4 linked regions of the Struthio camelus genome follow. Each later gene encodes a partner of the first gene's protein in a complex. Links are inferred from orthologs where the notes say so. Each region holds a gene or a part of one and is shown on either strand. Other genes may lie near its edges. The genes, in order: MEAF6, JADE3, KAT7 and BRPF3.

What was found.
Region 2: MEAF6 (region 1) and JADE3 share a complex: the UniProt entries of both Homo sapiens proteins name them as parts of the HBO1 complex. The link is inferred for Struthio camelus from reciprocal best matches to the Homo sapiens genes MEAF6 and JADE3.
Region 3: MEAF6 (region 1) and KAT7 share a complex: the UniProt entries of both Homo sapiens proteins name them as parts of the HBO1 complex. The link is inferred for Struthio camelus from reciprocal best matches to the Homo sapiens genes MEAF6 and KAT7.
Region 4: MEAF6 (region 1) and BRPF3 share a complex: the UniProt entries of both Homo sapiens proteins name them as parts of the MOZ/MORF complex. The link is inferred for Struthio camelus from reciprocal best matches to the Homo sapiens genes MEAF6 and BRPF3.

Annotation. Positions count from the first base shown.
Region 1 is NC_090964.1:10,828,226-10,835,338, forward strand, and holds the start of MEAF6 (chromatin modification-related protein MEAF6), read right to left. Parts: upstream 3,004-7,113; 5' UTR 2,974-3,003; coding exon 2,878-2,973; intron 2,784-2,877; coding exon 2,668-2,783; intron 2,587-2,667; coding exon 2,499-2,586; intron 1,791-2,498; coding exon 1,745-1,790; intron 916-1,744; coding exon 723-915; intron 1-722. Other genes in the region: SNIP1 (smad nuclear-interacting protein 1), read right to left, coding at 6,506-6,773.
Region 2 is NC_090942.1:148,568,480-148,575,809, reverse strand, and holds the start of JADE3 (protein Jade-3), read left to right. Parts: upstream 1-4,315; 5' UTR 4,316-4,455; intron 4,456-4,600; exon of another isoform or gene 4,601-4,730; intron 4,731-5,207; 5' UTR 5,208-5,302; intron 5,303-6,529; 5' UTR 6,530-6,606; intron 6,607-7,330. UniProt on the Homo sapiens protein: Scaffold subunit of some HBO1 complexes, which have a histone H4 acetyltransferase activity.
Region 3 is NC_090966.1:4,989,120-4,996,699, forward strand, and holds the start of KAT7 (histone acetyltransferase KAT7), read right to left. Parts: upstream 3,020-7,580; 5' UTR 2,789-3,019; coding exon 2,774-2,788; intron 1,880-2,773; coding exon 1,732-1,879; intron 425-1,731; coding exon 248-424; intron 76-247; coding exon 1-75. UniProt on the Homo sapiens protein: Catalytic subunit of histone acetyltransferase HBO1 complexes, which specifically mediate acetylation of histone H3 at 'Lys-14' (H3K14ac), thereby regulating various processes, such as gene transcription, protein ubiquitination, immune regulation, stem cell pluripotent and self-renewal maintenance and embryonic development.
Region 4 is NC_090965.1:4,942,608-4,950,275, forward strand, and holds the start of BRPF3 (bromodomain and PHD finger-containing protein 3), read right to left. Parts: upstream 3,001-7,668; 5' UTR 1-3,000. Other genes in the region: MAPK13 (mitogen-activated protein kinase 13), read right to left, coding at 3,322-3,401, 3,773-3,949, 5,270-5,348, 5,881-5,960, 6,534-6,605, 6,964-7,078. UniProt on the Homo sapiens protein: Scaffold subunit of various histone acetyltransferase (HAT) complexes, such as the MOZ/MORF and HBO1 complexes, which have a histone H3 acetyltransferase activity.

The sequences.
Region 1 (7,113 bases):
AGCAAGCTCTTACTGTGGGGTGCTGAGGCATGGTAAGAAGCAGGGTATGTTAGCCCAGAGAGAATACCACTGTAAAACAGATTATTTCTGATGCCCAAGCCATCAGCCTGCTAGGCTGTACCACGCCGTACAGGCATACCTTAAGGTTTGTGACAAACAAAGCAACTCTCATAAGCTAAAGGGAAAGAGACTCAGTTAGGGACAACAAACAGAAAGGGTTTGGAGTGAAAATCTCAGTGAAAATGTGGGGCTGTCCATAATGCCCCAAACATTCCGATTTGCTTTTTCACCTCCTTCCCCGAAAAGCGTAGTGATATTCCTCTCTTACTGAGTTGTGCAGAAACCAACAAGCTACAGGAAGCTACAACTATTATCTTCCTCTATAGAAAGGGAAAACAGTTTTATTCTCCTTGATAGGTAGGAGAATTGAAAAGGCCCAGTCACAAGTGCAGCTGTATCGGAGCTGGAATTAGTAGCCTATGCAGACAGCTTGTTTTAGCTACTTTAGCATGCCTTCCCCTCCTTGATTGCGATGGGAGCAATGGGATCCTGATGAATACTACAGGATGCATGCAACTTAATAACAAAAGAAATTACCACAACAAAGAGGTGCCCTGAGCTGCTCGTTACTTTAGCAAATTACTAGCTCCTTTCCGTAGTAAGGTCAATTCAACAACTAGCCACTCACAAGGCATGACAAGAAGGCTGCTGGTACCACTAACCTGTGTCGATTTTTGTTCTTCCTTTTTTTGTGGCTGCTGTGGTGGCTCCCAGAGGAAGTAGAGGAAGCAGCTTTCTGGGGTTTCACCCCCTGCACAGATCCATCCAGCTCTTCAGCATCCTCCTGGTTAGGCTCATTCTCTTGATTGTGGAAGTCTGGAGAAGTGTCACTTTCTGTCCCACTGCCTGGCTCCCCTAGAGCATGACAAACACAGAGGAGCACAATGGTTACTTCCCCGCAGCGCACATCCCAGGCCTGGAGAGTCCCTGAACCCACAGGGAGCCCTGAGCAAACGGAGCAACCCCCAACAAAGGTGCATAGGGCACCAAGGGCATGCTGAGCCATACAACACCAAGCTACCTCCTTAGCGACTGAGGCACACTAGAATTGCATCTGATTTGATATCAACTACAAACATGTCTTTTAGAAACCTGAGCATAAGTGGCTAATAACCTCAAAGCACTAGGGAAAAAACTATGAGAACTAAAGTTTTAAGTTCTAAGCACTGGAAACCCAGCACTGCTATCTGACCAGCACATAATGGTTTCAGAGTTGCACTCAGAGCAAGACTGACTCAGGAGAGAGCTAAACAGAGCTCGCAACAGATTGTAGAATATCTGAACGTGGAGCACTCAACTTTGCCCATAATCACTTACAACTTACTGAAAGATATACAAACAAAAAATGCATTCCTTTAGCTCCTCCAGACTCTTTCTCCAAAGAGCACCAAGTGTATTTAAATAAACTTTATACACAATGAATCCTTGAAACATATACTAAAGATAAAAGCTTACTCAAGAAAGGCAGCTCAGCTTTACTTGTAATGTTTCTCATACGGCCACTTTCTTGACTTTTATAGTTAGAGAATGTGTTGGGAGTACTCTGAAGCTCGCCTAAGAGGACCAGATGTTGGTCCCCAAAAGGGGAGTGCTCTAATGGAATGGCAAGTTCACAGTGGATCCAGAAGAAGTTTAATTCTTTCCAAGTTAGTTGTGTTCAGAGAGAAATGAAGAAGTGACTTACGCTTCTCAATGAGCTGGTCTTGAACTCCAGCTAACGCACTGACCGCCTAGAAAATCAAAAGGGACTTAATGAAAGCAGCAATTCACTTGTTTTCAAACCAAAAAAGGGGAAGTCACCTCACAGAGAAGACAGACCACACCTTTGCTTCAAAGAACTTACAACCTAGCACCAACACGGTGCAACAGAAATGAGAGTTAGGAGCAAAAAGAAAGAGACAAAGCGGACAGCAGTGACAGAAGTGTAAGGTAGAGGGGTTTCTTGACTGTGGTTACCTTTCACCTCTCCAGGCACTAGGAAAAAGTTTTCTGAAAAAGACTGCAACACAGAAGTTAAGATGCTGGGGAAGGGAAGAGATAAAAACACGCACAGCAGCTTAAATAGGAAACCTGCATGGTAGCAGCTGCTGCATCCCCCATGATACCCTCTACAGTACAGAGATCATCCCGATATTAAGTGGAGGGACGGGACCGGCCGCACTGGGCTTTGCTCCTGGTCGAACCACCACCAAGCTGAGCAAACGCCAGGCAGCTTGGGGCAGCAAGGCCGGGCGGTTCCTGCCTGGGGGCTGGCGAGACGGGGGGCTCCTTCGGGGCAGCAAGGCCGGGCGGCGGAGACCCTCTCGGGGCAGCACAGCCAGGCGGTTCCCCCCGGGCCGCGGCGGCCACCGAGCCCAGGCCGCTCCCACCCAGGGGCCTCAGCGGTAGCGGTGGCGGCGGCGGGCAGGAAGGGGCCCGCGATGCGGCGCGGCACTCACCGCCGCCGAGGTGACCGAGGACTTGCTGAAGAGCCGCTCGGCCTCCTTGAACTTGCGGTTCCTCCGGTCGTTTTTGCTGTTGGAGTTTCTGCAAGAGAGAGCGCGGCAGTGGCATGGCAGGGGCCCGGCGGGCAGGGCGGGCGGGCGGGCCGGCCGGGCCCACACTCACTTCTGGTTGGTGAGGTAGCGGTCCCAGCCGCGGATGATGTTCCCGTACATCTGCGTGTCCTCCAGGTAGCTGCCCTCGAAGGCGTAGATCTGCCGCTCCAGGTTGGCCAGCGTCTCCTGCCGGGCACAAGCACAAGCGGTGAGCGGGCCCGGCCCCGCCGCCCCCCCCCGCCGCCGCCGCCGCCGCCGCCGCCCCGGCCGCCCCGCTCACCGCCAGCTCCTGCTTGCGCTTCACCAGCTCGGCCAGCTCGCGGCGGGTGTCGGGGATCTGCGGGGGGCCGCCGGCCTTGGCGTGAAGCGCGGCCATGGCGGCGGCGGCCTGCGCAGGGCGGGCGGGCGGCGGCGGCGGCTGCGCTGCCGCACCGGGCCGCCGGGGGCAGCGCTGAGGCCCGGCCCGCGGCGCCGACGCCGACACCGACTCGGACACCGGCGCCGCCCGCGCGGCCCGGCCCGCACCGGCCCGGAACGGAAGGGAGCGGAACGGCGCCCCCGCGCCCGCGCGGCCCGGCCCGGTCCGGCCGGAACACCGCCCCCCGCCCCGGAACGGAACGGCCCGGAACGCCGCGCCCGCGCGGCGCGGAGCGACCCGGAAGGGAACGGGGCCGGACGGGCCCGGCCCACAGCGCCGCCCGCGGAGCCCCACGGCCCGGCCCGGCCCGTTCCCCCCGGACTCCTCAGGGTAAAACCCCGCGAAACGGGAGTTGGCGCCGTTTGACGCCACCCAAGCCCGGGCCGCAACGGGGAACCGCGGACCAGAGGGCAGCTGCCGCCAGCGAGCTCCCGCAGACGAAGGTGTGGCTCCATCCAGTGAAAACTAGCCCTGTAGCACCTGAACGAGCACTTCAACGACAGCAGCCGCGGACCGGCGTGAAGCAGAACGCCGGGCGGCACCGGCAACCACGGACCAACGCCCCGGTTAGAGCGCGGCCAGCTCGCAGCTCGCCGCAGGGCCGAGGAAGCGGGGAAGCGACTCCCAGATCCTCCTGCTTGGTCTACGACGAGGCCCCGGCTTGGTGTCCGCACGTCAGCCCTGCGTCCCTCAGTAGCCTTTGAGTATCTCGGGACCTAACAGCAGGACACGTTACACTGACAGTGAGGCAATAAACCGTAACACCCTTAGTTCGTGTTGCATCGTTTTTGGAAGCAGGTTACTGTGGTCTTCATCAGCACTCGGCGCTGGGGTACTGCACGTCCTTGAATTCCACCAGAAGCAGCCTGTTTTCCCTAGCATCAGGCAAATAATAAAAACAGTACAGCAAAATCAAGATCATAATTGTGCTATTGTACAGAATAGGTTTGAAATGATTAATTCACAAAATAGGTACAGCAGATTGTAGTAGTCACTTCCATTTTTCCAGCCCACGGACTGAACAGGAAACAGCTTGAAAGTAGCTAAGACCATTTCCTAAGAGGGTCACAGTTCAGCAACACAGCTAGGAGGAGTATACAAACTGAACAAATCTGAAAGTCTCATTCGGGTAAGACAGTGTTTTGTCACCCCTTTACATCACGGCTATACGTACTTCACCTCTGTGCCTCCCCTTTGTGAAAAAATAACCCATTGAGAACAGGTCATTTTAACACTTACTGAAATTGCTCCGCACGCTTCAAACGCTTTTTTTGTCTAATTTGATCAACCCTTTTTTTAAAGCTAGGCTCAAGCCTCTTAGTTACATTAGTCTAAATTGTATGACTTATATGCTCTGAAATAAACGGGACGCTATGCACTAGTTTGCCCCTTTTGCGATACTGATCAGATTTGGCTTAAACCACACACATATTTCATACTTCTGAGGTGAACATGTCTGCATGCAAGAGCATGTGACCTGAGCACTGCACTAAGCCACCAAGGGGAGACTCAGGTTCACAGAGGTCTGAATAAAGCAGCATGGTGCAAGCCTGCTCCACCTGCCCCTCCAAACTCACAGCATCTGCAGCACACAGACCACACAACCTTTTTTTTTTTTTTTTTATTTCTTTGGTGTCCTTAAAAACCAAATACAAGTACTTTGATAACATGCACTATAGTACAAGAGACACACAAGCACCAGAAGCTGTGATGCCTTCTGGGGCTGCAGGAAAAAGTGAGAGGTGTTGCCTAGTTTGTGGGGTGAAGGGGTACTCGGGACTGGATTACACACGGTGCATCAGTCTGAATTTAAAAGCAAACACATGCACCACAATTTCCAAGTGTACAGACAAAGAATCTGCCACTGAGGCAGTTACAGTAATGTCATTTGTAAGGTAACAGATGTCATTATGTCTGCTTAGTCCTGCTTTTACTAAAGGGTAATACTTCAGTAACAAGTTCAATGAATTACTGTAGATAGAAGAATTCTTGTGAAATCTATTTCAACTGCTGAACCTTTTTGCTGACCATAAGAACTGCAATAATTTATACCTTCAATACCAGCATCTCTCCCTCATCTTTGTGAGTTTCTCCGAAAAAATATAGTGCATCTATGTCAGATAATATAGAGGGAGAAAGGGACACTAGAAAAATATTACAACTAAAATTAATTAGGGCTAAATTTACAAATTCTTTATTTAAAAACCCCTAGAGTATATATAAAGGAGATCCTCCTAGTCAAAACACATTCTTCTACCAGCTGTTTGAAAACCCTACATTAATGTCCCATATTTACACCATAAACGTTTCAGCCTGTGTATACAATATGTAACATATGTATACACAAAGTATATACACAGCATGTATGAATAGCATGTGTGACCACAGAACAAACATCTAGGCAAAGTTAGTAAACAAAGTGAAAAATGTTACATTTCTTTTATCATAAAACCAAGCACAGGAAGGAGATATCCAAAAATATGCAAAATGTAAGTATTTTCATTAAGTAGAATTTTCTTCCCCCTCCTAAAGCAACTTTTCTTTTATGGGAAAAAACAAGAATACTTCAAACAAATGACAGTATAATTTTATATAAAGAAAACTTAAATAGTGCAAACTGTTGAAAACATGTAATCACATAACAGGTATCTACATGTAATAGAAACAAGGAGAAGTTATTTACGGGGCTGTGGTGTTATCAAAAAAAAAAAAAAAAAAAAAAAAAAAAGAAGAAGGACCCAGCTTTAGAACCAGATACCCAACATCCAATAAAAATTTCAGTATCTAGTTTCAACATATACTGGGCATATACTGACTTAGACCTCAAGCCCCATAACCTAAAGTCCCAGGAAGCATTTCCTTTCATTTACAACTATACTACCTGTAGATTACAAGGTATTCTGGTAAAATGCCCATCCCTGAAAAGTTATTACAATGCAAACTTAACTACCCAAAACATACAAATACAAGAGGGGCTTTGCAACATTTCTGCCTCTTTAGTAATGAAACTTGGTAAATTCTCCTGTCTAGATTTCTTAACAGGCATACAAATTCGGCAAATCCTACCAAATAAGACAAAATATATCAGCTAGTTTCTACCTTATTTTTCAGTTAAGTAGCATTTTCAAAGGATTATGACAAAACAGTTCATAAAAATAATTTTAAATATGCCCACTGTGTTTTACATCATTTACTAGAAGGGGATAGCCTTCCAACATCTGTTGAATATTTCCAGCACCACAGCTTTCACATCCAGGTGCTCTTTTTTCTTTGTCAGGGGAAATTAGCTTAGAAAAAGCTGAATTTCCTGATAAGCAGAACTATCCAAGATGATTAAGTCCCCAAAATAAGCTACAAGAACAGACCAGCAACAGAAGAAGGACTTTAAGGCAATAAGAGGCATCAGTGCTTCGATGCGCCAATGTTTACATCCCAATGCACGTTCTACTGCAAAGATTTTTTTTCACCCCCCCAATTTCCTCCTGATCTGTTAACTGTCAGACTCTTCCTCCTTCTCGTCCTCCTCCTCATCATCGTCCTTTGTGTTTGCCTCAGATTTATCTGAAGATTCATGGAGAAGAACATATTCCCTGCTACTGAACCCAAATTTCAACACATCCTTTTCTTTCAGTTCATAGTAACGTTGAGGTTCAATCCGCTGGTTATTTAGAAAAGTACCATTGCCAGAACCAAGGTCAATTATATAAGGCCTTACTCTGCGGCCAACTGTACCATCAGCACGGGTGTACTCCACAAGCCTGGCAAAACAAAAAGCACTATTTCAATCATAACAAGACAGACACAAAATTCCCATTTATGCAGCCACTCTAGAAGTAGATGGAGTTTTCAAAACGTTCTGTATTTTCAAAAATTTAAGCAAGCATAATGAGTGTAAGGAGGCACTCGGGATGAGATTCTGAAAGACTGCATCACCTTCTAAAACTTATGGTGATATAATACAGTAATTTGTAACACCGAACAGATGGCTGTTCCTTGAGAGCAGCTCTGTCTTCAGCAGCATACAATCCTTGCTGCTTCAAAAGGATAGCAGCAATCTTGGTTGCAAAATATTTTTACCGCTAATTACACCTGAGAGCG
Region 2 (7,330 bases), on another chromosome or scaffold:
TGGAGAAGCAGCTAACTTGTGATATCTGAACACTCCAGGGAGCGTCAGTCTTGATTTTTTTTTTGTTTTTTGTTTTTTAACATGGATGCTAACTGCCATAGAGAGTTTCCCTGAGTCTGTATATAAGGCAACATAGAGGCAGCTAACTTTCCAATTTTTTTTAGGTAAGAGATACAATTTGTTTCCTCACTAATACAAGCATAAGAGGTATTCTTTGTTTCTTTTGTGTTAGGCACTTACTTGTGTGTGTTTAAGTAAAGATATAGGCCCGTAACACTGAGACCTGTTAAAAGCTGCTGGCAGTTCTCTCCATTCTCTGTTACTATCTTAGAAGGAGAAAGATAAATAAAAGTTCTGCCTAAGCGTAAAACTTTGAACTTGTCAGATCCTGGAAAGTGAAGCTGGCACACTCATTTTGCTCTGAAGAGAGTAAATGCTTCATTATTGTAGAAGGTGCCTTTTTTTTTTTCCCCTCCCCTTTCTGAATGTGCTGACCTTCTTAAGAGAGGAGACCTTTCCCCTGATTTCTGAAGTCCCTGCTTTAAAAAAATTTTTTTTTTTTTGGTAAAGGTTCTGCAGCTTAAGTGGAGGGGCTGTGCTATGACCTGAGGGCCTCTTCTGATAGCTACCCCAACAGGTGCTAAAGGATTGGGTTCAGTGTTGGAAGTAAAGATAATCTTTTGAAAATCTGAGTGGTCTTTGCTTCTATTTGTAATAGTGCATTTTAGAAAGAAATACTTTTCATCACAGGAGGGTTTTGAGACAGCTAGTGAGCCTTAGATGAGGTTCTACTTCCCGCCCCCCCCAGAAGAATGAAAGTTACTCCACAGCAATAATTAGCTCTTTTGTTTGCAGGTGGGCGTTTGTGCTTTACTATAGCACTTCAATGATTTTGTTCATTGTGAAAGGAAAATAAGGGAGTTATGCTTTTCTGTCTCTTGCCAGTGGCTGTCAATGCTTGGCCTGATTTGGGGGATGTTGTATCGAGGCTTCATCAATGGCCTGTGATCTACCAGCGATCCAACTTTTATGCAGCCTTTACAGGTTTCAAAGAAAAAAGGTATGCCAGGCTTTGGTATCTGTGTATTTCTTTTCTTACCAGAGATGAGCAGAATTGCGGCCCTTGGAGGCTTCCACATGCTGGCTGGGAATGCTGCAAAGACTTGGACGGAGAGGTATGAATTGGATCTCCCCCCCCACCACCACCACCAAACCTTTCCAGTTCTTCCTTCCCCCCAGTGTACCCCTCCATGATTCTACAACTTGTTTGTTGCCTGTTTTACATCCCTGGCATCTGACCAGAGGTAGCAGATTTGGTAGAAAAAATAGTTTTCTGTTGAAATTCACTGAAAATGCTTCTAGCTATTTCAATTATAGATGCTTTTTTTGCAGCTCCACTTTGGGTTAAACTCTGAGTGACCCTACCTCTCAGATGTTAAACATTACTTCAGTGTAACTTCCTTAATATTTTAATAGACTATGTGCAGCCCCTAGCTTTTGTACAGCTGAATAATGACTTAGTTCAACCTGCTTATAGTATACATGTATGCATTATTTCGTTGTGACCATTTATTTCTCTTGTATTTCTAGTTTCCAGAGCATTCCTCCCTTGGGAGGACTTTGTGTTTGTGCTATATTTTATCAGCATGTTAACATCTGGCTTTGCAAATACCGCCTATTCTCTAGGTGCATAGGAGCATCTGTAGTTCATCCTTTCATAAGAAAATGTGGAAACTGTGTTGCATGTGTCTTTTAAAGAGAAGAACAATATATAGTCTGCATCTTATTTTTCATCTTGCTACGTTTTCTTATAGAACACACATAAAGAATGTAAATGTAATTCTGTGTAAATTCTTATCAAATCATAAATAGTTTGCTAGAATTAACATGGGATCAGATAATGAAAAATTTATTTGCATATAAAAGCGTTTATTGAAATTAGTAGCCCTACTGACTCTGTGCCACCATTTTTTCCGTGTCGCATATCTTTCAGCCCTTAGCATGTACAGATGCGGATTTATGGTAGAAGTGCAGGTTGTAATGTCGTCCCCTCTATCCCTTGATACGTGACAGCCAGTGAAGGGGAGGGAGGTGTGATCCCAGGCATGTGAAATGAAGACAGCTGCACAACACCTTTTCCTGGGTTGGGCTGCATCTGGTCCTGATAAAGTCATTCATATATGAAATAATCTGAAAGAAAACTTCTCATAGGAATGCTTATTTTACTGATGGGAATATGCATTCTTCGTTGTTCTTCAGAATGACTGATAAACACTATATACTCCACTGTGCAGGTTTTGTGGACACAGAAACAAAAAATCATTTAAAAATATAAATTAATATATTAAAATATACTTCCACATCGTTTGTGTTAAGGGTAACTCAATCAGATTTAAAATTCCTTTTATGACTAGAAAACAGCTTGTCTATACTGCACAGACTTGGTTTTATTTCATTTTGAATTTTCTGCGTTCTGGACTTTAAACCTCTTGTCTAAGAGTTAGCATTGCCTGCCCTACTGTCTAGACCATCCAATTTGATATAGAAGATTCCACAAGCGTGTCTGGGGGCAGAAGGAGTGTTCTTGACATCTTTACTTGACGTTGCGGCTTTCTGAAGCTGCTCAGAGGCACAGAGTGTTTTCCTGGCAAGTATATATTAATGAACAGAAGGCAAATGAGGTGATCACTGGTGCATGCAGAAAACCATACATGTCCGTGTCACTGTTGCGTTGCTGTCTGTGTTTGTAGAAAGCTACCTTTTAGTATTACATAAAGGAATATTAACCAAAGAAAGAGTGGGGTTTTTTTTATGCAGCAGGTACTAGATGCACAGGACTCCTTGCCAGCAGTGTTTTACAATCAGAAGGTTTTACATTCAGCTAACGCAGGTTCAGTCAAAGCTTACTTGGGCAAGTACTGGAGAAGTGATCTATTGAGAGTTACTAAACAGACAAACCACATCGCGCTTGGGAAATCTCCTCAGCTAAAAGTAGTTGGAGGCTTGCAGAGTATATGGGGGAAGTATCTTTCTGTGGATGCCCGTTTGGGCCAGGAGGAAGTTGATGAGGAGGCCCAGGACTCAGTAGAGCTAGAGAGAGGTTTAGCAGGCTGGATGGACCGTTTGGCCTGAAATGGTGCTCCTTGGTTACGACCTATGTCACCTCTTCTTTTGGCCGTTGCCTGCCAACACTGTGAAAGTGCAGCTCAGGCATGCCAAACTATCATTGCTCATCTCTTTGTTCCTTCTTCATTGTCCTTACCATAGCCTTACCTTTCCTTCTCAGTGCCTGGCCTAGAAAGAAGAAACTTGGCTCTGGGCTGTATCTGGTTGAGAGACCAGATGTGATTTCCCTCTCTAAGAAAGTTTCCGTGTGGCTTAGTGTGAAGTGAGCCTTTCCGTGCCTCGGTGTTACTGCGTGTGGGACGGGAGACCTTTTTTTACAGCGGTCACGAGGAGTTTACAATGTATTTGACACCACTGATACTTAGTGCTAGTAGGGGAAATGCGTGTGGAGTCTAGTATCAGGGGAGGTTTGCCTTTTTTTTTTTTCGTTTTTTGCTGTTGTTTCCTTTATGCCCAACGCTGCTGTCTGCGCTTTCTACCAATTGTCGTCTCAATGGGGAACTCCGTTACGGGTCAAACGGCTAAAATCTATCAGCCGCTGCCAAAAGCTGCTCGAAGGCAGGCTTTACGGTGGTAACGTTGTTCAGCCGTGCGCAACTTGAGTTAAAACGTCCCTAACGCCGCCTCCGACGGGGCGCGGGCGGGCGCCAGAGAAGCTGCCGGAAGGCGGCGGGCGCATGGCGCCGCGTGCCGCCCGAGTCCCCGCGTAGCCAGCCGGGCCCGCTCGGGTGGCCGCGCACCCGGTAGTTTGAGAGGCGCGGGGCCAAGGCCGTTGACCTTTCATCCGCCCCTCGGGCGCCGCATCAGCCCCTCACCCGCTGTAGACCCCTGCGAGCAGCGGGCAGAGCCGCCGGGTGCCCCCCGCCGCCCCTCAGGGTGGAGGAGGAGGAGGGGCCGGGCGGCGGCGGCCCGGGCCGGGCCTGGCAGCCCCTGTGGGCGCAGCTGGCAGGAAGGGCCCGGCGCGGGCAGGGAGGGAAGGGGAAGAGGCGGAGCCTGGAGCGCAGCGGTGTCAATGCTACAATAGGGCTCTTGTGCGGGCGCCGCCGCCGCCGGAGGAGGAGGAGGAGTGGGGGCCGGGGCCTGGCTGCGGGAGCGGTGGCGGCGGCGGCGGGGCGCGCCGAGGAGCCGGCACACGCAGGGCGGGGGCCGCCGCCGCGGGCGGGCGGGCGGAGGCGATGCGCGCCGGTGCGGGGCAGCAGCCGCCGCCGCCGCCGCTGCTGCTGTTGCTGCTGCCGCGGCGGCGGGAGCGCCAGCCCTGACGGCTGCGGCCGCCCACGCCGGCGAGCAGGGGAGGCCGCGGCGCGGCCGAGCGGGCCCGGCCGGCGAGAGGTGAGCGCGGGCCCGGGCTGCCCGCATGGAGGCGGGGCGGGGGGCGGGCGCAGGGCCGCGCCGGGTCGGGCCGGGCCGGGCCGCCGAGCCGAGCCGGGGCCTGTGCGCGGGGAGGCGCCGGGCCTGCGGCGGGCGGGACGCGGGCGGCGGCGTTTGGCGCCAAGGCCGAGGAGGAGGAGGAGGAGGAGGAAGTAGCAGCGTGGGGGGGGGGGAGGAGGCGGCGGTCGGCGGGTGCTGCGGCTGCAGCCGGCCGGCGTCGCGGGTGTGAGGCCCGGGTATGTGGGGGCGGCCGTGGGGAGGGGGAGGAGGAGGGGGAGGGCGGGCGGCGCTGCCGCGGCCGGAGGGAAAAGTTGCGGCGGAGTTGGTGGGGGGGGGGGTGTCGCCCCACGGGCCGGGGCGGGCGGGAGGCAGCCCGTGGTGAAATGCCCTTTTGTCTGCAGCAGCGAGGCGATGTGAAGGCTCGTTGGCGTCCGCAGGAGTCTGCTTCGCCTCGAAGGAGCGTGTCGGGGCGGGGAGGGGAGGGGGGCGAGGAGCGGCCGCGTCCCGCGCGGAGCCGCCGCCGCCGCTCTGGGGCTCCGTCGTGCGCCCGTCTGCGGCGGGGGCCGGCGCTAACGCGGCCGTGACCGGCCTTCGCCGCGCATCGCTGCCAGCAGGCACGGATGCGTTTTTCCGCTTCCCCCCCCCACCCCGCAATTAAAAAAATAAATGAAAAAATCCCATCACCCCTTTTTTTTTTTTTTTTTTTAAACCAGTACCTCGAGGAACTTGCTAGAATTGAGTTTGGCAACAAGATGCTAGCGCGATGTTTTTGTCTTAATAGCCTGATGCTCAGTACGCTGTGGTGAAGGTAAGTTGGATTTTTATTTTTTTTTATTTGATTACATTTTTTTTTTTTTAATCCTCGCGCGGTGGGGCATGGCTAGCGCCCAAACGCTGCGCTTGGTTTTTAGGGTTAGAGAGCGGAAGGTCCGCGCTCTTGCTTTTGTTTCTATAAATGAAACCTTTCAGGATCCTCCCTCAGATGGCATTTGCTTTAATGTAAAGGACTTTCTGTAAAAGGGTGGTTTCGTTTTGTGTATGCGCAACAGCCAGTACGATTAGCGGCTGGGAGTGTAGCGAGATTAGCACTTAGAAATAATTCTTTGGTGAGCGATGGGAGAGCATCAAGTCGTTGGGTATGTTTTAAAATGCATCTCAATGGGAAGAATAAACGCCTTTCCCCCCCCCCCCCCCTTTTAAACTGCCGTTATTTCATGAAAAGCATTTTTAATTATTTGAAAAGTTGAACTGTTGTTGACAAATTGTTTTCTTAAGTGACTATATTCTTGAAATGTAGTAAAGAAATTCTGCTAAATTAGCGCTGTATTTTAAAGCCTTTTTTTTTTTTTTGCGTTCAGGAGAATGGGATGCAGGAGACAGCATACAGTTTTGATTGGAAACCCTGTGATTAAAATAGGCTAGAAACTTGAAAGCTGTTGTACCTCTGTTAACATAAGAGAGTCATTACACTAAAACTGAAAGATTAGGGAACTATATTTTGTCTTGGTGCGTGTGAGATGTTTTGTCTGCCACCAACTTCTTACATCACCTTGCTGTTTGTTGTGGGCTATTCCATAGAGCACTTCAAGTACACCTGCTAATCTATACAAAGTGAGAGCATATCTGAGCAATCGCGGAGTTAACCTGAAAATGCAAGATGCAGATGGCTTTAGCAAGGGAGGCCTGCATGTACGTTGGCATAACTTTCAAGTGTGCCACGAAGTCTCTTAACAGGACAGCAGAAAAACATTGCTGTGTGTATTGGAGGGAGCAAATGCGATTTTTAAAGCCTCTTCAGTTAAGAAAGTGCTTTTTCAAATTACAGCCAGTTAGTGCTTAGATCTGAAGTATTTTTTACGTGAACTTCTGACCTCCTTCCAGACTAGACATGACATGCTCTGTTTTTAATGCCAAAGAGGAGCAGAAAAAAAGCTCCCTTCTGAGAAGGTCAGGCTTTGTATACAGTAAAAGTCATCAAAATAATTACAGCTGCTTCTATTTACCTGTCCTTCATTTGCTGTTTACTCCTTTCTAGGTTCCTGTTACAGAACAGGTGCGCCTGCCGTGCATCCCCTTCCTCCCCCGCCATCAGAAAAAAATCCCCTGAGTTGGGTCAGTTGGCACAGCTGGTTTTGTTTTTTCTAATTTTATTTTTGATGTATAAACGTAGCAGATACCCACAAGGATTTGCTAAAGAGCTGAGGCTAGAGCATATGCAGTGGTATCTCCTGGCAAGGATGCATGTTCATTTGGGATCTCATTAAAATCGTGAAAGTCCTTTGTGAATATAAAAGTCTGGGTTACAGTATCTCAGTGAAATATTAGGATAATTCCAGCTTTTCTTTTCTGTGGGTCTGTGAACTTCTTTTCAGTGACAGAAAACCAGGAAGTTTTTCATCTTGGTTTTGTTGGGATACTAGAGACTGTTTTTTTTTTTTTTTGGTTTTATTTTTTAAAATATGCATAGTTTTCATAGACTACACAAAGGCTATTTGGCTATTTTTGAGTATTGTTTTTACCTGTACAGCTTTACATATGTACCTACACGCAGGCAGAGAAGTATCTCGTTAGTGTACTAGCTACCACGTGCTGACTGCTGTAGAGCATTTATCCCAAAGAGCTTGCCACAGCTAGCATGTGGGCTTTGTTGAGTAGTGACTTGAATGCTTGGTTGGTGTGAAAGCAGGTGTCCAGGGCCGCTGTGAAACCTGCTGGATTTGTAAGACGTTGTGGTGAGAACCAAAGTTAAACCCTGTACGAGCTGCCTCAAGTCTGAGTTCGGAATTGATATCCCTAAGATGTTCCCCATGGTCTGCTAAGGTAGCTTATGTCAGGC
Region 3 (7,580 bases), on another chromosome or scaffold:
CAGACTCGGAGGAAGGGGCATTCCCAGTAGGGGTGCGAGGTGGAGACTCATCATGATCAGCTGCATTTTTAGTGTCTGAATAAGGATCAAGATGTTACAAATTTACATGGAAGAAAGCTCTCAGAAAAATAAGTAAAGCAACTCCTGAGTATCCTCAGGGTACTGTATTGTGCCCTCAGAGAATAAGTCATACGCTCTTTCCCACTGCATTTTGCAAAATCCCAAAGCCTCACTGCACCCCACATACCTCTATCCGAAAAGTCAACCACTTGCTCAGTTTCTGACCCAGACGATCGGGTTTGCCGGAGCGGGTATTTCTTTGGAGTCACAGGAGCGGGCTGCTGTTGGCTGCGAGTTACTCTCCTTGTAGAATAGACAGGCTCTTCTGCTCCAAACGATGGTGGATTACGAACTGGGCTGGAATCTAATTCAACAGAGACACCATAATCACACATACAACAACCACTGTAAGTAACTTAACTCAAGCGTGCTCTGAAGTCTCCGATATCAACATGCGATAGCTGGATATCAACAAACAGTTCTGTCCTCCCACATCTCACCATTGCATGTTATCACAAGGATCTGCTCTATTCTTCTGAGGTTAAATCTTTGACACTATAACCAATACCGAGCAATCTGGGACTAGATCAACTTTCTCTGGACTTATTTACGTAACTAGTAATTACAAAACAGCTCCCATCGGAAAAGCTAAAGAATCATTAGTTTAAATAAGAACTCTTAGTTTTAGGCAACCCTTGGGAAAATCAAGGCTGCTTCTGGTATGGAACTATATTCGGAACCCTCTGTGTGGTTTGGGCATCCTATCCGGCTTAAAAGGCTACAAAACTGACCATCTTACAGGAAAGTGATACTTTTGCTCCCTAGGAAAATCACAGGCATCCCATGCACTGATGCAAATCACATTTCCTTTTGTTTTTCAAGACATAACCATCAGATGATTATGCACGCATACTTCTTACCTGCAAGGAAATTTGTCACAAAACAGGTTCTTTGTCAAAGAGTATAAACAGAACAAGGTAAAGAACTTAATATCCACTGTCATTTCCTCCTCTGGATGCCAGATGGCATTTCATTTCCTGTTATTAACTACCAGTGAAACAGCTAAACTAAAACTAAAAACGACCAGGTAGAAAGACTCAACATATCCTCTTACAATCTGAAGCCAAAGTAGATGTATACAAAATAACTGCCAATATGTTGATTACTTTTACTGCAGAATAGCCTCAAAAAGTCATGAAAGTTTACCTTCCCTTGCGGCAGAGAAAACCCAAAACAAACAAACAAAGCAAACAAAACCAACTTTCACTCCTGAACACCCTCTCTGTATTGACACCATGTGACTACTCTGGTACCTAAGTAAATAACTAGACGGAAAGTAAAATTTTAGAGGTCTCAGAAAAATTAGTCAAAGCTGGCAGCAGAATCAAGGCTTTTAATTCCCCTTTCATTCAATAGGCAGGCAACTTTACTTTTTAAGCAGAAGATATTAGATTCTTGAGTTTCACCACCAATTTAGTCTTTAGATTATATCATCTCATTTGCGCAAAGTGCGCTTACATGAGATTGTTCTTTTCCTTGGTACCGCAATACCCACCAACAAAAAATAAAATAATTTTATTTAGGTGTAAACTCAACACGTTCTAAAGGTCAGGAAGACAGAGTACATCCAGCCTCCTGCCACTTAGGCGTTTAGGAAAATAAAGCATTCACCTTGAGAGCTCTGACTAAGTCTGGCTGAGGAACGGGTCACACGGGCAGATCGCCGCGACGTGCCATCGCTTTCGGAGCTGTCTGTATGTTCAGGATCAGTGGAGAAATCAGAGTCTTCTGTTCCATCTGAGCTGCTGCCGGCATTCCTCTGCAACACCACAGAGCCGGGCATTAGCACGACAGCACCTCAACCTGCATACCGTGCTTAGGCTATACAGAGAGGATATTTGATTCCTGACAGGTAATTCCAAGCTCACAATGACATACTGGAATAAATAAGCGCCAGGTGTTCTACCCTGGAGAAAAATCTCCTCTGAGGTTACCTCAGAGCCGCCGCCGCCGCCTCAGGGGAGGGAGCGAGGCCGCCCCGCGCGCCCCGTGGCGCGAGCGCAGCCCCGCGCCGCTTTGTTTTGCGCCCAGCCGAGACGCGCCGGCCCCGGCCAATCACAAGCCGCGTGGGAGGGGCCGAATGCGGGAGCCCGCCAATGGCACCTGGCAGAGCGAAGGGGCGTGGCCACCACTGCGTGACTGACGGCGGCCGCCAGCCTATCCGGGGGAGCCTCGCTCCTACAGAAACATCCACCCCGCGGGGGAGGGGGCGGGAGTGGGATGGGGGAAGGGAAAGAGGGAGAAACAAGGCACGCGCGGGGAGGTGACCGTTGGGGGCGTAGATGGGCAGCTGCGGCGACCAATCAGAGGCCAGCCCGGCGGGCAAGTAAAGCCAATCCGCGGCCAGCTCTCCAAATAGCCGCCCAATCGGAAAAGCCGAGGGGCAGGACGCACTGCAGGCGGGGGGGAGGGGAAACGGCAACCGTTGGGGGCGATGAGTGATGAGCAATGGCGGCCAATCAGCGCCCAGCAGGCCCCTGCGGGAGCCACTCAGGGAGCAAGCGGGGCGGGCGCTGGGGGGTGAAGGCCGCTATTTTCCCCCAGATTTTGCCCCCGCGAGAGGCAGCTCAGGGGGACAGAGAAGGCGGGAGGCCGTAGCCCGAGCTTGCCGCCCTCCCGCCGGCAGCCTCCGCGCTCCCCCGGCCTCGCTCACCTTCCTGCGCGGCATCCTCGGCGGGGGCGGGGGCAGCGAGGCGGGTTGGTCCCCAGCGCCCCCGGCCCGCGAAGCGGCAGCCGCCGCCGTGTTAGCGCCGGCGGGCTCCGTGGTGACAGCCGTGTCTCCTCTTCTCCGGCACGTCTGCTCCGGCGGCGCCAGCCCGCTCCCTCCGCCGCCAGCGGTCCCTGTTCCCTGCTCGGTCCCTCACGCTTCCGCCGGGACACGGTCCACACCCCCCGTCACGTGACCCGGAGCCAGCCTCACGCCAGCGGGGGCTGCCATCTTGGATTCGGACAGGTATCCTGGCGGTTCCGCCGACAGTGAAGCTGCCGGCGGCCATCTTGGGTCCGGGCGGCGGAATCTGCACAGGGGTGAGGCGGCGGCCATCTTGGGTCCGGGTGTGAAGCCAGCTGGCTTCCCCGCGGCGCCCGGAGACCGGCGCGGGTGTTTTCCCGAGGAAGCCATGTTGGATACGGGCAAGCCGAGCCCTCCCGCCGTGGCCATGTTGAGGCCTGGCAGAGAGGCGCCGTCGGGTGCATGGAGTGACTGGGTGGAGGAAGGCGGTGAGTCCCCATCGCTCTCGCGGCGGAGGCGGGGTGTGCGGAGACCTTCCTGCCGGGGGGGTGCCGCTGCTGCCCGGCGTGGGGCCTGCTGGAGGGAGAGGCCTTTCCTGGGCCCTGCCTCCTCGCTGGCCTGGGGGGGGGCCCGAGCGGCCTTGCAGCAAGGCCCCTTGCCGGGCCTGCAGGCCGGCCTGGCCGAGTGCTGCTGTTTCCTTAGTTGTGGTTAGGCCAACACCTGGTTAGACATAGCCTCTCGGTAACGCTGAGGCCGTAACACTGCCAGAGAGTGACAAAGTGCTGCTTTATTTAAAGGACTTGGGGGGGAAATAAGGGTGTTTAGTCAAACGCATGATTTCTTTGCAGTTGTGGTTATTTCTAAGGATTAGGACATTCTTAAGGTCTAATCTTATAATTTTTGCGAGTGCATGTCATTCTTAGTCATGCAAGTAATAGTCTTTCTTTCATTCCAAACTGCTGTTGCTCCTAGGTGTATTGGTCTCCTGTGTAATGCTGAAAGGCGAACTTACTGAAGAGCTCGAAGTGGAATACCTCTGCTTTTTGCCCTGGCAGAGAGGGATGGGAAGCAGCAGTGTGGTATGTTAAGTGGGGCTGCACGTACTGGTTGCAAATCACCATGCATGTCATAATTGCACACATGAAGCGCAGGAAAACTGTGGATGGGGGAACAGTTCATGAGTAAGTCTGGTTATTTTAATGGCCCAATTGCTAATCTATTCATGAGATGATTGCAGGAAAAAAAACCCACTTTTTGGCTTTCTGCTTTTTCCCAGGCTACACCTGCCTGCTATAGCATAATTATGACTCTGGTTTTAAAGGGGAAAAAGACTTGTTAACAAAACTAGCAGCTTTTCTCCTCTTTCTGTTTCCTCAATCCCCTCTTCCTCCTCACATAATGGAAACCCTGTTCCCAATTTACAAAGAACTCCATGCACATCAGCATGGCTACATTGGAGGACAGCGTTCTTAGCCCAGGATGTGAAGGAAGGATTCTTGCTTTAGGGGGAGGAGCTGGAATAAGATTGCAAAATTTTCATGCCTTACAAGAAAAATAGCATTTAAGATCTGGATAAGATTTCCCATTTACCTGGGATTCAATGGAACTTCAAATTGCAGTTGAGACAGTGTCTTATACTAGGCTAATGAGCATTATATTTTCAAGTTACTAGAGTGCCTTGAAACTTTTAGTTTATGATTAATTTGGGAAAACATTCTGCAGGAAAAAAATGAGCTAAAGCTATAGCTCCAAAGGGCAGTGGAAATGGGAGCAGAGAAGAGCAGTGTATTACGCCTTAATGGAAGGGGAGGAGTTAGTCTGAACACTTCATAATTGCTCATCTACCATATTTTCATGAGACAAAGCTGAGGCCTTGCAAAAGAGTGACTGTTTCTCTCAAACCGATGAAGGACTGTAATGGAAATGTTGTGGGGCAGTCAGGAGAAACGAAAAAGACTTAAAAGGACTTATAAATTGCACCTTCATCTTTTATCTCTTCTTGCATTAAGTAGAATCTGCCTGTGGTACAAAGACTGATAGTTAGCTTAAAAGCTCATTTAACATAGATAGCTGCAGAGTCCGAATGTGTTAAATTCCCTTGCACCTTTGTGTGGATAAAAAGGAGCAAAGAATATAATGGCCATGTAAAAAGTTGCACGTTACCATATCCCATTGCAGTGTTTGCCTATCAGTGGTAGCTGAAGGATTCCTCTTTTAAAACTATACCTCATATGAAAGCTATAGCTCTTAATTGTATCAGATGCACCAAGTATTAATTAGAACTTCTAAGTGTTAATTTATTTTAAACATTAACTTCATTATGTTTATGTTATTGCATATTAGCAGGATTTATCATCATCACCATCACCACCACCACCACCAACAGGATGTTATTGGGAAAAACAAAGCAGGCAAATTGAAGTGGGTGGTGTTCAGTAACTTTCCTAGAGGTAGCAATACTTGAATAGAAGCCAGTTCCCCATGTTCTCTAGTCAACTCCTGGCATTTAAACTGGCAATACAAACTTTAAATCCTCTGTGCCGTTTGTACGATGAATGGACATAGCAAAGGGGAAGGAAGGAAAACTAAAACAGTACCTAGTGTGTGTAGATGGATGTGGGTAATGAGAAGATGGCCTGTGTTAGCTGAGCTGTCTCACTCTCAAGAAGAGCAAAGGATCAGATCATGTTATGACAGGTATATACATACAGAAGGGTTCTTGCAAGCTCTACAGCTGTCTCTAGTACTAAACTACAGGGATATAAAGTCTCGGGTGATTACTAGAGAAGTCATTGCTATTGCATTTCGGTTCAAAATCCAACCCCAAATTAGGAGGCTTCTGGCAAAAATAAACATTTGTTTCTCTTCCTGAATTTGTATGTGGAGGATAAGTACAGCCCTTGACCATGTCCCAGTCATTGGTATTGCAGAAGTTTCATCACTCGCATTTGTTGGAGCCTAAACTGTAGATCTGTTCTGCAGCAAAACATAAATGGATGTGAAATTTGAGAGGCCGCATGCTTACAGGTGCCTGCCTCGTTGGCTTCACCACTAGATGTCAGTGCTTGAAACCACTTCACCATGAGCAAGCCAGTGAAGTCAGGAGTCAGCCTGGAAACAGACCAAGTGGATTCCTCAGGGTGCAAAATTAGTAAAATTCCTGCCTACAAGGATCTTGGCTGGAGGTAAATTCCCATAATCAGGTTCTTGAGACAGACTTGCAGTCTCTCAACTGTGTCAGAATTTTCCAGGTAGGACCTAGAATGAGGAATTTCCTGATGTCACATCAGAAGAAAGTTCAGCAATTGCTTGATGACTTAAATTGTTGAACACAGTGATTTTCTTCCCCTCCTTTGAATTTTTGAACTCTAGAATCTTGAAGGTATGTTGTTGGTAAATTCCCACAGATGCCAGCTGAGTAGCTACCTGAAATCTCTTGGCCCTGACAGTCCCCCTAAATCTCAATAAAGCTCTCTAGGTGTTGGATCCAATTAAAATTCATTGGAACTTAGGCTTATGTACATTTGCTATCCTTAATTTAAAAAATAAAAACTCTTGCTGCATCTTAGCAAATATAGACAACAAAAAGGGAATTTCCACCAAAAAAAAAATCCATAAACCGAGAGGCACCAGTTGGTAGAAATTACATTTAAAACTTTGATCTTGGTACCCACTTGTTTTGGAGATGCAGCGCCGAGTGATCTGTCTGTCTTGATTTAGCCATCGCTCATGTTGATGAGAATATAAAGTAGGCTTATACAGGAATTGTTATGAAGCAGAATAAATACTAGTAAAGTACTTCAGGATTATCACTGTGTGATAAACACGTCAGGAAAGTTAGCGTTCATTTTGTTAGTTGCTTTGTGTGTTGTTTCTTACGATACATTCCTACAGGGTTACTTTACCCGCTTAAGCGTGTTCAAGTGAAGTGGGAGAAATGTGCTATAATGAAAATCTACCATAAAAAAAAAGTGAAATGCTATACTCCAACAAATCTTGCTTGTTTTTTAGGTATCATCAGTCCACCCAGTAGACTGAAGAAAGGCTAGCCTAATGATTGAGTGCTACAAATATCCAGAGCATTGCTATGTATATGGGAGGACCCAGGACTGCTGTTTTTCCTACTTTCACATCCTCTGAGGGTGAGTAGAGGTGGTTTCTGTGTGCTTTGAGTTGCAGTTTAATGTTTTAAACTGTCTGTTTTCTAGGTGTGGTAGGTCTGGGCAGTGGAGCAGCACCACAGAAGCTCTTGGCTGGAGCATGTAAAGCTTGAAGAATTCCTGGGCCTGGTTTGATGCATCTTAAAGGCCTTTATTGATGTGGGTCCCTGTCTCTCACAGATGCCCTTTTGCTGTAGAATAACTGAGGCCTTGCCGCTGCCTGCTGGATTACTTTTGGACAGGGCCTCGAGCAACCTGATCTAAGTTGGCCCTGCTTTGAGCAGGGGTTGGAACCTAAATTACTCTGACTGTTGGTAGCTCAGAAGCTTGAACTTGATTCTTGATTGGATTAAAATGCAAACAAGCTAAATAGCAATGTGTATATGCAAATGGTAGACGTTTTGAGAGACTGAATCTAAATTTGGTAGATTTGCTGCTGAAGCTGGACTAAGCTTGACCTTAGGTACTTTTGAACCCTAACTTCTGATTACAGCTGCAGAGGCCAGCTCTCAAGCGGGCCTTGGTATGTTTCAGAAGCAAACCCTACAGGAACAAATATATTCCATCCA
Region 4 (7,668 bases), on another chromosome or scaffold:
CTGAGAAGTACATAGCATAAATTGCAACAAAGACAGCCAGGAAATACAACGTCACCTTGTCCAATTCACAGGGAAGACCAGAGCTCAGAAAATTCCATTAATGTTGCAATTTTCCCTTATTTGAGGTAGATTTCCAGTAGAACTGGAAATCACAGACCAAGAAGAAAAACTACAGAGACGAGTACTGAAAAAATACATCCTGCCTAAACCAAACCAAAATGACTCAGCAGCTTTTGAGGCTGCTACCGAAGAGGTGAAGAGTTGAGAAATATTGCATATATAATCGAGCTCTCATATACTTTCTCAACAAATGCTTTTACATAGCCATGGAGACTGTGTGCCCTGACATCTTGCATGGAGACAACAGTTGTCTCTTGGCACATGCACCTTGGGGTGGACTTTGGAATCGCTGACTGCATCAGCCTGATCGCAATACGGCAGATGCCAGCTAAGAAGATATTTATGCTGCAATCCAAAGGTGTTATCACAGCTAACATAAACATACTTGCTTAGCTTTGAACTATCTAGTCACTCTATCAATAAGCAGCGGATCTGCAGAAATACCAGATTCAGCACAGGCTGCAAAACTTTCTGAGGATCCTGCGTAAATATTCAAGCTAGCCTGTGCTGAGCTCCTTGCTACTTTACAGATTGCGCTATTAACGCCAAGCTGGCTAGCTTAAAGCTAGTTCCGATATGCTTGCATGAGCTGCAATCATATTTCTAGATTGCACAGTAGATCTGCGCCTAGTCATCAATGCAAAGGACAGGGCTTAGAAAGCGATGGTAGTAATTCAGAGTAGTTATGTGTAGTTTTTGCTGTCAACTGCAGGCAGAATATACTGGCAAGAGATCTTAAGCGCTGGGCAGCACCAGAGCCACTGTGTACAGCATGTTGGTAACCAAGCAGCTCTAATGATAGCATCTGCAATGGTAGAGACAAACTGTAGGTCTAAAACAGATCTATAGTCATGTACAGACTGTAATCTGACAGACCTCCATATGCCACTGCCAGTGAGCCTTACGCTTGATGTCTTCAAGAACACCTCTGTAAAAGGGACTGATGGCATAATTCTGTGCTCCTATGCAGACGCTTTCAGAGCATAAGAGACATTAAAACCAAATGAATCACTGCTCTATTATTATTTGGGCCTTCCTCTGCAATAACATTAATATGTAGGAACGTGTAACCTATCCAGAGGTTCATTACAGTCCATTCAAGAAAACTAACAATTCCCATTGCTGCAGGTAGAGGCCTTATTAGACAACCACTCCTTACAAATGGCTACGCACTTGCAACCTGCTCAGAATATAGCTAGCAGATAATGATGGGTTTTTTTGGTAACGTACATCTGTAAACTTTGGTTTAATAATTAGCGTTTCCAGGACTGTGATTATTAACCAAAGTGGTGTTTAAAGGAATATGTGACATGTTGGGGGGAGTCCTAATACATATTTAAAGATTTTTTTCGTGAGGGTGAAGCTTATTCATTCATATTTCAAGCAGGAATAAATAAAGGATTGTCAGAGAAAAATCTATTCCGTAGCACTGCAGAGAGGCCATAAATAGCCCTAAAGACCCTACTGTATTTAGGAAGCTCTAGCAATTAACTACTTAATATATTAACAATAAGAACTTCAAAGCGTAGAGGAGAGAAGGGAAAAATTCTCAAAAAATTCTATCAAATGTCCTAGTTTCACAAATGAGACAGGATCATGACATCACCTCAGATACCTGTGGTCAAGACAGAGCAGTTACGTTGCTTTAGAATAAGCCATGCAAGCACATATGGGATGTATTTTGAAAGGACTAATGAGAATTAGTGTCTACAAGATCATCCAGTCATATTAGAAAGAGGGCTGTCACAGCAAGCAAGGGACTTAAATAACAAAGGTATCAGACTTTGAGAAGTCAAGTGACTCCAAGTTAGTTTCAAAAACTTGCTCTCCCATATTTGCTTTCTTAAGGCATCTCGTTTGGGGATAAGCTACACTTAGTTGATGAAGTACAAGTGTTTAGATGCTTATCTGAGATCTAAATCACCAAGGTAAGAACCTACATACACAGTTGTAATAACATTGCAGTTACTCTCAGATCCCATTTACGTACTTTTTTCTTGTAATTGTTTTTCATCTCTCTATAAACAACTTTTATGCTTTTTTCTCCAATATATGAATTTTTTTTATTACTTACTTGGGGAGCATAGCCCTAAGACTGACATTTGACTATTGACATATTTCCAAATACTCAGTTTAAATGGCCCTTCATATTGAGGAATGAACAGCCCTTTAAGACAACAGAAGCAGAGAATCCCTCAAAGTGGAGGGAATGAGAATATAAGGGGTCACATCACTGGGCTGCATGACAAAATACCACACCTGCTGAGTGATAAAGGCAGCCTGTAGCAGGCAGGCAGGGGTAATTCCAGGCCGAGGATGCTCAGTGAGAGATAAGCACAACTGAGAAAGAACCGTAGGAGAAACCAGGCTGATGATAAAAAAAGAGGCCCTGGTAAGGGCGGGCAGGACTGTCTGCATTATAACCCAGCTCCTTGGGATTACAGGTCTATAAATGTACAAAAGTGGACGTGAACTCCCAGGTTATGTTTGCTAGCAATAAGGAGGAGAAGGCACTGATCAAAATCCAGAGATGGGAGAAACAGAGCAAAAAAGAAGAGCTAACGGCTGTCCAAAAGTGGAGGCACCTTAGTAGGGAGTTTTGTCTACAGCAAGTGGCCAAGTCAGAAGTTTAGAGCCTCTCCGAGTGTAGACCAATTCCAAGAAAGATTAAATTCTGACGGTATCCTGGGAGCCTAAGTCACCACAGCAACCTCACTGTGCTGGATGCAGTTTGTCTGCTAAGAGAAAGGGGATGGCATCTAAGCTAGGTTGGATAGTCTCGTTATGCTTAATTTCACTATTTCGGATTATTTTGCTTGGCCCTCACTTCCCGATTTTACCTTTTTCTTCACCTTATCCATAATTAACATACAAAAGCTTGTTCCTGGAAAGAGCAATAGGAAAGAAACAATGACATCTCTGATCTCTCAAGTGGATGAATATGTAAACAAAGAAACACCAGGTAAAATTCTCCCATTTGGAGTTTCAATAAGAGTATATTTATCTTTAGTATGGAAAACTATTTGGGTTGCATCCCCCTTTTTAGAACAAAGTCCAACGCCCACAGCATGGTGTCATCCCCGTGCTCACATACACGGAAGTCCCACAGGCCAAGTGATGGTTAAGAGCAAGGCAGTGTAGTGTAAATCCCATCTATAATCCAGCACAAGAAACGAATCCCAGTCACAGCTGCTTCAGTTGCTATAATGACATTCCACTTCGCTTCTTTGAGTCCTTCCGTGCAATTGGACTGAAGGACAAGATCTCCTTGTAAATATGCTCTTGAAAAATAGAACAAAATAATCGTGAATATCACTAGCATATTACTGCTGTTCGATTTTAGAGGAAAAAATGAAACTTTGATCATTATTCAGCTGAAAGGATGTGACAAGCGTAAGCTGGGAGGAAGAGAGACAAAACAGAGGCAAAAAAAGTGTCTGGAGAGAGACAGGCAGAAGGGATCTTAGCTGAATGCATAAAGACAAGAGTAAGGAAAGGGAGACGCACACTGTTTATCGCTGAGGCATTAACAAGCAATAGTAGTGAAGTCAGCCTTACTCAGCACGTGCACAGGAAACAGAAAAAGGGTCAGGAAAGCCCATGCTAGACAGGGACAGGACGATGGGAACTTCAAAGAAGACAAACTTCTTACTTCTCCACTCATCTATTGAAAGTTTTTCATGTTCTAGAGAATCATCATAGGACTGCTGTGCTTCTGTCTCCTCCTCAACATCTCGAAACTGATCAAAATAGGGGTGGGCCAAAGCCTCCGTGGCTGTAAGACGCTTCTCCACATCTAACTGCAACATCTTGTCAAGCAGATCCACTGCTGTAGGAGGAGACAGGAACATTGCTAAGCAGGTTAAATGGAGAACAGCTATCCTGCGCATGAATCCCGAAAGCGATAGCCCCAGTGATTCTAGTACTACTGTTTCCAGACCTGAAAATGAAACAGACTCCTCAATCGGGCCAAAGGAGCGTGGAGCTCCCCATCAGTCCGGATGCAAAATCCACCAAACAGCACCCTCGAGTAGCTCTTAGCTAACAGAAGTCTAGTTCTGACTAAAGTGGTAAAACAGGCAGAAAAAACAGCTTAATCTTGAATAGGCCTTGCTGCATGGATGGAGCTGCAAGAACATAAACAGCAAGCCAGTAACTTCAAGATAGATATTTTCAATTTCAATAATTTGCTTTCACTCTGACCCCTGTTACTCAAAGCAGTCTTAACATGAGTAATCTATAAAGAAATCTATACCTCCCTGGTAAACAGGAAGGCAGGAAACTCAGATACTAACCAGTCTGTCAGCCCTTTTCCCCCTTGGTTTTAACAGCTTAATGCTTTCTTCCTCTCAGCTTTTAGAAGAGTTTTTCTCACCCACCTCTATAAGCTATCTAGGGAAAGAGTTACTTGTAGGAGATCAATTTTTCCCCTGAAAATCGCACACTTCAGTTGCCTGTTAAATATCAAAAGGTACAGGTGTTTAACACACAGTTATGAGCTAAGCTGTACTCTTCCCACAAGACAAAAAAAAGAATACTTGAATGGACTATGGAAATTTTTGGCTCTTTACAAAAACTTATGATGCCTTGGATTCGGGGCTGGGAAATAATAATGAAAAAGAAGAGCTGGTTTGTTCATTTGAATGCTACTAATGGCAATATCACCTGCTTGGCTACAAACAACAAGCTTGGAAACCAGTCTTAGTCAAAATTCATCCTAACTCATACGAAACAGAGCTGAAAGTGTTTTAAGATTACATGCAACTTTCCTAGTCCCATAATTTGCACCCTGCAACCTAGACATCCTGTTATACATCACGTGCTCTCTTCTGGCTGGTTGATGCACGCATCAAAAGTTTACCTTTTCCTAAAATACTGCCATGTCATTTAAAAATAATAAAGGAAATGGCCAAGAATAGCAGAACATTGCTGCTGTAGCGCTGTTGTATCTCCTACAAGATAAAGAATTATTTTGCTTTTAGCTTACACACATTTGCCCTGGGAAGGGCTAGCCCTCTGCAGGAGTATAATCCGCAAGGAAGGAAGTAGCATGAAGTAATGAGAAAGAGAAACAAAACTGCAGCTGGGGCATTCAGCCTACATTATTTCCAGCAGTAAAAATGTGTGAGAAATACTGAAGATGGCTTACCCTGAGGATTGGCTTTGGGGAACAGCACAGACAGATCCTTCTTGGGAATTTTTGGAAGGGACTTGATATAACTTTTAGCCTAAAAGAAATAGGAAAGCACAGCACACACATTTACTGCAACTGGACAAGTGCAAGGGGGGGTATATAATAGAGCTTTTGGTTTAGGCCTAGATGAGCAATGGAGAAAGAAAAGAACAGCAAATTATCCTAGATGTCACACTTCAGTGACCAGCTTGTGAGGAACTATTTTTATCAGTTCTTTGAGATACAGAAATACTCCCATCTAGAAAATGGCCAGATTGAAGAACAAAGGAGGGAGATGCTTTGCTGAGCCATGAAGCATCTTACCTAGGCATCTTAACTTCCAGTCCCTACAATCACCCCCGTTCTCAAGGCAATACATTAAACATTAAGGACAAATACATCAGATGTGCCGCTAATAAAGAGAAACGTCTTCCTCAGCAGGAGGGAAAGATTCTCTCTCTCTCCTGTTCCAATGACTGATTTAAAAGCAACATCCCTCCCATCTCAAAGAAGCTGTAAAGTCAATCCCTCTCCACCATGCCTCTGGCAGCAAGGCCCTGAATAATAGCCACAGTGAGCTTTCTTACCGCTTTGTCTTCCAGCTTCTCCACGAAATCTTCTCCTGGATACCCCGTTACTTTCAGGATCTGAGTCAGCTGATCTAGGTCTGGCATGCTGCATTAAAGATTATCCATCTAGGAGCAAGCCCCAGACCCCACCCCGTAGCTCAATTCTTTGTGCAGGAAGGCCTGAGGACCTCTGAGAGCTATGAGCGTGTTATGATAGGAACCCCATAGAGATACACAAGCAGAAACTCACTATACTGGCAAAAAGAACTCAAAGACAGCTTCTCTTCCTGAGACGCAATCTGTCCACAAAAGGACTCCTTTGCTGGCACACCTTCATCAGCAGAGAATTTTGCTGGCACAACTCTGCTGGGGAATATGCCCATAGGTTTCGGGATCTCCCCATGCAAGGGTTTGGGGATGAAGCTGTGGCTATGCAAGGTTAGCTACTTGATGTAAGGTGCATGTAGCCAGCACAGAGATCTATTTCTAGGGGTGGCTTGGCCCTTCCACTATTTCCCTCACTAAGAAGACCCCACTAGTCCCCTGTGACTACCTCTTGGTACACCAGACCTATACCCTTTCTCTCAGTAGCTTCATATTCATAAAAGCACTTTCACATGTGCCAAGAATTCACCGCCCCCCCAGGAAACAGGTTCAGTTTGAAAGGATACAATCTTTTCCTTTAAACAGCGTTTTCCCGGTCAGCATTTCTGCCATGATACAGCCAATAGACCAGATATCCACTGTTCAGGGAGAAACAGGAAAAAAAGAATGACACAAGCTTGAAGAAAGAAATGATTGCTGGGGGCTGTCTCCTGCCTTTTCAGTCTGCAGAAGGCACTGATTTCAATTTCACTCTCATTTTCCACCCTCCGCTGTTCTTTCTATGCTACTACAATCCCTGCCTTCATCTTTTCCCACAAGCACTAACTTTGGGAGTAGTCCAGCTGGGGCTGCGTCAGCCCAGTTCTGCTCTAGGAGAGACATTGATGATAAAGAACAAAAACATCTGGAAGATTACATGAGATTTGACCCAGGCATGACAGGGGGATCTTTCAGCTTGCCACCAGACAGTCACACAGCTGAAGCAATGCAACTCACCTGTCTGGTTGTAATGCATCCAGTTCAGAATGACTTCTGGTGCTCTGTACCAGCGTGTAACCACATAGCCTGTCATTTCAGCATCCGCATGTCTCGCCAAGCCGAAGTCTAAAATCTGCAGGTCACCAAAGGAAAAGGGAGAAGGAAGGGCAGGAAAGAAAAGAGAAATCCTACAGGCAAGTGAGAATCTACTTCTATGAGGAAATGAAACAGATCCAATCAGATAATAATAAAGTTCTTACTATACCAGAGCCACCCACAGGATGGTTCAAAGAACTAACAGGTTTGCCTTAATTCCACTGTAAATTGCAAGCAGGCTGCAAAACCAGTTGTCGTGTGAAGACCCTGAGGAAAGGGATCCGTGTTGTGCGCTACTTGGAATGTCACTTCCTATCTTGAAACTTAAGTTTAAACTCTGAGTTTTTAAATTGAGCTCTTCTATAACCTGGAGGCCTAGGTACGCTCCCAGGCCAACACGACTCACCATATTCTACAAAAACACCCTGCAGCTGACAGGGGATGACCTCTCCCACGATACTGAAAATGAACGTGGGTATGACCCAACCTCTACAGACAACAGAGCCACTCCCTGTTACATACGTGACAGAATGTTTGCTAGACCATCACGCCACAGAGCTGTAAGCAATTCCTTTACAGCAACGCTGAAAATAACTTTGTTTAGAATCACAACCATCCTGTTTCTAG